Linked DNA regions of Caenorhabditis elegans. The protein of the gene in region 2 purifies or fractionates together with the protein of the main gene of each other region. This does not show direct contact. Each region holds a gene or a part of one and is shown on either strand. Other genes may lie near its edges.

Region 1 (3,850 bases), on a different chromosome or scaffold from region 2:
TTCCGAAATTCTGGATATTCCCAATTTTCTTATCACTCAAATATGATAACACATCGGTCGAGAGAGAGGTAGGGGGAGGAACAGTAGAGAAAGTGACCTGAAATAATGAGAACCCGTTTTCTATCCGGACAAGCTGACTAATATAATACTTTGCAACAAACAGAAGAAAGGGAGGCAAGCAAATACATTTATGAGATTGGATTACCAAAATCTGAGACTTTGCCTTTTTATACCCAAAATGGTCCAAAACTACCAAGTTTCGTAATGAGACGTTTTGAAAATTTCTTTTTAAAAAGTTCTGGAAAAAAGTTTCATATTCAGCTAAAATCAAAAATTTTGCCAACTTATCGGTGTCGCAGCTTCTGGAATTCAGACGCTGCGACAGCGAGCAGATGGCAAAAATTTTGATTTTAGACGAAAGTTAGTATTTTTTTTCAGACATTCGTTCCAAAAAAAAGCGTCAACGTTGGATGTACACGACGTCCGCTGGTCTAAGACTTTCTGGGCAGTGCTGTGCGGCTCTTGAAAAAAGTCGGCTCTCGGCTCTCGTGAAGAGCCGAAAAACACCTAATTTTCGGCCAAAATCCCAATTTTTCGGCTCTTGGCTGGCGCCAGGAGCCGAGTTCAATTTTTTTTTTCGGCTCTCGGCTCGCGCCGAGAGCCGAGAGCTGCACAGCACTGTTTCTGTGGTAAAATTGGTAATATTTTGACAACTTTAAAATGTAGAGAAAGTTATGACGAAAATTTGGTCCTTGAATTATATTTACACATTTAATTTGAGTTAATAAACAACTAAAAACGCATTAAGTCCAACAGTCGATACCAAAAATATCGCAATTAAAGTATTACCGGTACAGAGAGTGTAGATAGTTAGAGAGTGACAGACATCCGGGACCCAATGGGGCGGGGCGCGCGGAAGAGACGATTTGTGTCGATTTACGAAATGATGACAACGAGGAAAACTTCGTAAATCGACACAAATCGTCTCTTCCGCGCGCCCCGCCCCATTGGGTCCCGGATGTCTGTCACTCTCCAACTATCTACACTCTTTGTACCGGTAATATTGGGCTAGTAAATTTTACATTAATGAGATCACTAAAAAACTATTATAGAATATGAATTCAAAACAAAAATTTGGAAAAATGAGAAATATCAAGAGAATCCAGAGCCTTTTTGTAATTGTTTGTTGATCATGCTCTGGCGGAAAAGGCGAACGCCTGCCCATGACCATGAATATCCGTCAATTTTTTGACAGCTTGACGTTTTTCTGCTTATGAGCCTCATGAACACATTAAGAATGTCACACGTTTTTGATAATATGAAAATTAGAGGGAATGTATTAGCGCGAATAGATCAGAAGTCCCAGAAGATGTTCCCCTAGGCCTCAAGAACGTCTGCAACTAGTTCTGCGTTTTACAACGGTAATCCCAGTTTTCTTATGTTAGAAAATAGAAGAATGTCAGTGAAATCTTGTTAACTTGGTCATGTGTCGATTTAGAGAGGAGAAAATTTAGAATGGTGGCTAAGATGGTTGTTACGGATTTGTTTTTTGAAAACAGATTTTTTATTTATTTTATCTGTCACAAACTTACAATTAGTGATAAAAACGAAACTCTGAAAAACTGCATAATCTTTTAATTCTTCAGAAACATCTTTTTTTTAACAAAAACTTCATATTTATTACGTTTCCGATTATCTACTGGAGATTCATCCAAATTCGGCCAAATAATTCTCGATTCTCCCACCCCTGTGCGGTGGCCTTGCAGAAAGCGCGCGCGCGTCTTGCGGTTGTTGGTCGGAAGCTCCGCCCACCTCTAAGTTGATTTATTTTTGTTCTTTATATTTAAAGTGTAGTTTTTGTAGTTTTTCAGTATGAAATATTGATATTTAAATGAGAAAAACGATAATTTAAACGTTTTAGTAACTTCTGAAATCATTTTTGATTCTAATTTCGTGAAATGTGTTGTTTTCCTTTCATTTATCGACTTTTTGCGGCTAAAAATGTTGAAATGTGCATTTTTATTAGATTTTCTCCTTTTCTTTTCGCATTTTTCCAATTTATTTCGTTATTTCAGCATGTGGTTCGAACAGTTCTACTCTGGAGTCATCACAACCGCGTTTGTAGCTGGAGCCTGCTACATGTCCTATCCATTCAACAAATGGGATGTCGGAAGAGCTTTCCGGCGTAATTATTGTACTCCACAAAGGTGCATTTTTTGAGAAAAATGATTTTTAATACTTAATTATAATAACTTTCCAGAGTTGAGCTGTCGAAAAGAGATCACCGACTTACAGGAAATCAGTATCGCATTGCCGGACTTGATGCTTTCCCCGAAAAGTGAGCACGAATTTTGGATTAAACAGGAATTTGATTCTTTTCAACAATAAATTCTACAAATAATCGACATTTTGATTTTTTTTTTTGAATGTTAAAAGACAAAAAATCAGCGAAAATTGTAGTTTAGTCAAAATTTATAAGCTGCGGCAAACGATTTTTTTTCGGAAAACGGGAAAATTGTCAGAATTGAATTGTTCGGTAATCGGCAAATCGAAGGAATTGAAATTTTCGCCACATCGGCGAATTGCCGGAGTGAAAATTTCCGGCAATTCGCCGGAATAACGGCAATTGCCGAAAATTTCGGCAAATTGTGGTTTGCACATTTTTTTTCGAATTTGCAGAATTTTAATTTCGAAAAGGCGCAGTTTTATGTGCTTTTGCAATATAAAACATCACTCCAAGTTTTTCCGGCATATCAGATATCCGGCAATTTGCCGAAAATCAACATTTCCGGCAAACCGGGAAACTTAAATTTTCAGCAAATCGGCAAATTTCCGGAATTGAGAAGTTCCGAAAAGCCGGCAATTTGCCAAATCGTCAGTAAAAAATTTGCCAGGAACTGCGAAAAAGATAACAAAAATCTGAAATCAACTGTATTGGCCCTCAAAATAGATTTTTTTCAGGTAAAATCGTCTCGGACCCTGCTTCTTCTAAAATCGATTTGAATGATAGGACAACTTGTAGCGCGGAACCCAATCTTTTTTTCGTGATTTTTTTATCCAAAAATTTAAATTTTTCGAGTAAAGTGTTCCTCTCAGCTGTCAACAACAAAAGTTTCTCAATTCAAACTAGAATAACATAAAACCATAAAATAGGTCAGCTGCTCCTCGCCTGACACTGACATTTTGATGTCTTCTGACAGGAGGATCTAATGACTCTTTGAGTGCAAGAGACACTTTGGAAAATCTATTTCAAACATTTCTCCACATTTTTCCTTCTTATCTCCCTCACCTCCACGGAACACCAATGAGATTTCTTCTATTTTTCCAATTTATTCTCCAATTAACTCATTCAAAAACCCCATGTGCTCCTTCATGGCTTCACATTGCTCATCTCGACTCTTGTTTCCTGTCTGCTCCTCAACCAGCCGAATTCTCGGAAGCCCTCGAATACTGTACTCAATCCAATGCAAGCCTTGTCATTATAAATTCAGAAGAGGAGGCCTCTATAGTTCGTGAATTTTTCGCCAGAGAGAATCCGAGCTTTTTCAATTGGATCGGAATGCGATGGAATGCGAGAGCGGCGGATTTTCAATGGATTGACGGGAAATCGAAAAATTATACGTACTTTTTACCAGGTAGTCAGCTGAAAAAACAGGAATTTCTGGGAATTCTACGCGAAAATTTTCGATTTATTACGGGTAACACAAATTTCTGAGAATGCGTATTGCACAACATAAATGACGCGCAAAATATCTCGTAGCTAAAACTACAGTAATTCTTGAAATGGCTACTGTAACGCTTGTGCCGATTTACGGGCTCACTTGTTTCTTCGTATTATTTTCTCATTTTT
Region 2 (3,929 bases):
TTAATGTTCAGGGCAAACTTCAATTGTTAGAGCTTGAAAATTTATTAAAATGGTACAATATTTTGATAAATAAATGGTTCAGTTGTTTTATACATGAAATTGTCACAATGAATCACAATAAAGCTGTGAATGTTTTTATTTACTTCAAATGATTTTATAGAACTTAAATTTAAATGATATCAACATTATCAAGATTAACAGAACCAGTTATTGGGAATGTTTCCGTATTATTTGGACGATTTGCAAACGGAGTATCAGAAACATTTCCCAATAGGTTATTAATTGTTTCCCAAGCTTCCGATTTGCTAATCTCTGCCAACTCATTCTCAACTAAATTCGAGAATATCAACTGCCAAAATGTCATTCGAAAATTCCAAAAGTCTCCTTTATAATGTGAGGAAAGAGACGCTGATATATGCTTCTTTTCACATTTTTCACCGCGATAGGCTTTCGAACATTCACAAATTGGTTTTGGATTTGAATCAATGCAAACTCCACCATTCTCACAGTTACACAACTTTGGAACAATGACTGCAATTTATAAAACTCACGTAGAGATTAGTTTTAAAAATATGCAACTCACGTTTTTCACACTTTGACCCAGTTAATCCATTCAAACAACTTGGTTTTCCTTGAAAATTGCAGTGTTTTCCCGAGTTGGTTGCTTTGTTCTCATCACAAAAAGTTTCACATTTCTCACCAAACCAATTTCTAAAACAATGATACAGATTCAAAAAAAAATTTAAAAATGGTATATTTTCTCTTTTAGACTTTCAGACTTTCAGCCGTAATAATCATGAACTGAAATGTTGTAGGACCTAAAATGACATTTTGACAAACTTTTCTTCAAAAGCTAGATTTTACAATGAAATTTATGATAGAACCGTAGTCAAGTATGTCAAGTATAAACAAAGAATTTGAGCAACATTCCAATTTTTCCGTTAGCTCTATAACCAGAATTCACTGTCATCAATAGAAATTGCACGGAATACAAAATTCCAAATAAAAAATTTCCAGACGAAATCCTAGATTTCTAGAACATGCTCACAAGATATATTTACTTTTTTTTCTACAGTACCGTGTGATTTCTAAGTTGTCTTGTGACAAACATTTAATCCAATTTCAAGACAAACGAGCTTACTTATTACAACCAATAACGATTCGAATTCCATTTAAAGGTCTGGCTACAGCAGCCGGTGATAACAGCCCAACACGTGGGTGAACAGTTGAGACAATTGTTGTGTCAGTTAGACCCAAATACTTTGGAGTTGAATTTTTAAAATATGAATTAAACTTGCCATCTTCCTCTGATTTTCCACATTTTATGGTTATATTGTAGATATTATCAAAGTTCACAGGAATCCTTGTAACGTTAAATGGTACATTAGATTTAAGTTTTAAATGCACTATTTTTGATTTCTCTGTTCGAAAATTTGATGAGATGTTCACAATTGCGGTTTGTATATGAGGACTTTGAATATGTAATTCTAGATATCCAGAACAAATTATCTGTAAAAATAAAATCTTAAAATTACAGTGGTTCAAAAAATCTCACCGATTCAATAATAAAAGTTATAAATAAGAAAGAAATCGCAAGAAGTTGCATGTTGAAATGTTGATAATGAGATGGAGAAACAAAAAAACAAGACTAAATATTTGTACTCGTCAACTTTAATTTTGATTCGATTGAGGTCAATTGTGTAATTCAAGGTTACCCCAAGTGACGTCATCACTACGCATTTTGACTTGACAACGTGTCTAGAAGATCAACAACATAATAGTTTTGAAAGAAAAGAGAACAAAAATTTAAGTTTTACCGTATCTGCTTTTTGAAATGTAAAGCCATTTTGATGTTACTATTTTGGCCGAAACTCACTTGAAACTCACAGGTCTAGATTTAAAAAAATAGAAAACAATTCTGAATGAGAATATAATTAAAGTCTCCGAACAATAATGATAAATTTTTTAAATAAGTAACAAAAAATTATTGAAAATAAAACATAATTTTCGAATGTTCTAAAACTGACCCATTTGTTGTCAGTTTTACAGTTTTAAATTGTTTCAAAAAATCAAGAAATCAATTGCGCGTCTGAAACTAGCGAAAATGTATGGGTTTACATATAAAAATTTGTTTATTCATGTTTATACATTTTGGTCAGCTATTTATGGAACATAGTTCATATCAACAGAGACTCCACATGGGCCAGTAGTGGTTCCTTCCCATTGATGAATTGTTGGTCTGCTCCATCCTCCGAAAGGTGCGAACTTTGAGAAATCCTTAATTCCATCATAGGTTGCCCACCAGAGCATCAAACTAGATTGTCCATGATAATCCAATCCAACAATATCTTGCCAATTGTAATAGTTACTGTAGATTCCAACTTGTTGCTTGTAAGCTTGAGCTTCTCTGACCATTGCCTCGATGAATGCACGGTTACTGGCGTGATTAGCTGGCCAAGCGAGACGTTCAATGTCAAGCCAGAGAGTAGAGACATGAGTTCCTGCACTCTTCAAAGCATCAAGAGTTTCCTTAACTTGATTGGCAGCAGATGGGCAGTTAGATCTCAAGCATGGGAAGATGTATCCATCGACATCGGTGAGGCCAGCTGCAAAATTTGTAATTAGCTTGGTACTGAATGAAACTTGTAGAAAACTTCAGATGTTTTAATAAATTGGAATATTATCAGTTTGAATGTTCGAACCCGTACAATGCTTATAATTGACTTGGAATACTATAAAGCTCATCCTTATGATCTGATTATTCCAACTTAAAGTGATCATAAGGGCCCCCTTACGGTCTCAATATTCAGCTCAAAAGGATCATATGATTAGTTATGGTTGAAAAAATTTTCACCTAAAACTTTTCTTTTGGAAGTTTTTCCAAAATGTTTAATTTTTTAGAAAAGCATAATTGTGGTAGTCCCTACAAGTTTGAACATTCATATTACATTTTCAGTCGAACCATCACCTAAATTGGAATTTTCTGCTATTCTGGACAATAATACTTAGAAAGAAACTGTAATTTTTTTTTTCATTTTTTAGTTTCAAGAGGTAATATATTGTTTCACTCACTAGATGCATTGTATGTATACTTGTAAAACATATTAAAGAGCAAGATTAGTTTAAATTTTGAATTCTATATTCAACCTATTGACAAATATATTTGAATATTATTATTTTTCCATACTCTGTTTACAATCATGTGACAATGCATGCCCTGGTAAACTAGACAGTCAGAGGGGACAATGAATGGTTGTAAAACGTAACGAAAAGATATTTCATTGACCACTACATCTTGACTTTTGGGAATATGTGTATTTGAATTATTTGATGGCAGTTTTTAAACAAACAAAAAGAAATAAGAAAAAGAGATAAGATTTTGTTAGTTTAAGTATTTTCTTACAAATTTAATACTCATAACTTATACTAGGAAGTATGCACAGACCTATAAGTTAGAAGTGTGAGGCGAAGAATCGCGAGGGAAAGGAGAACCAAATTGCCAAGAATGGAAATTATTTTGAAAATGGTAAAAACCATTCCTTGATACCCATCTGAAATGCTCACCTGCTCTAGCATTCTTGACGTTTTGAATTCCAGTATGATCAAGAGTTCCAACAGAAGTAAAGACTCTTGGAATTACGAAAGAATATCCAGCCTTATGAATACATTGAAATGTAGCAGTAGACACTGGTTGAATGAAATCAATTCCATTTCTAGCTGCACTTGCAGCACCGATCAAAAGCAAAGCCGAGACGAAGAACTTCATGATTCTCTGAACTCCCCTGATTAAGCCTTCACACACTTCTTTTATACTTCCCAAATACCGGAGATTCTAATTTTATGACTTTGACGCAAGCGGAAAGATAAAATCAAAAACTTCATAAACCCTCTTCTCTTATCTTTTTTGTTTTATTCAGAGGCTGATGTAA

What was found.
Region 1: the proteins of dsl-5 (region 2) and ndua-1 fractionate together in Caenorhabditis elegans (co-fractionation; one large-scale study listed by BioGRID). This does not show direct contact.

The regions. Positions count from the first base shown.
Region 1 is NC_003283.11:20,850,121-20,853,970, reverse strand, and holds ndua-1 (NADH dehydrogenase [ubiquinone] 1 alpha subcomplex subunit 1), read left to right. Parts: upstream 1-2,073; 5' UTR 2,074-2,076; coding exon 2,077-2,207; intron 2,208-2,260; coding exon 2,261-2,338; intron 2,339-2,961; coding exon 2,962-2,965; 3' UTR 2,966-3,094; downstream 3,095-3,850. Other genes in the region: clec-264 (C-type lectin domain-containing protein), read left to right, coding at 3,305-3,635.
Region 2 is NC_003282.8:11,619,333-11,623,261, forward strand, and holds dsl-5 (Delta-like protein), read right to left. Parts: upstream 1,678-3,929; 5' UTR 1,607-1,677; coding exon 1,556-1,606; intron 1,510-1,555; coding exon 1,142-1,509; intron 712-1,141; coding exon 584-711; intron 532-583; coding exon 170-531; 3' UTR 31-169; downstream 1-30. Other genes in the region: lys-4 (LYSozyme), read right to left, coding at 2,164-2,606, 3,565-3,766.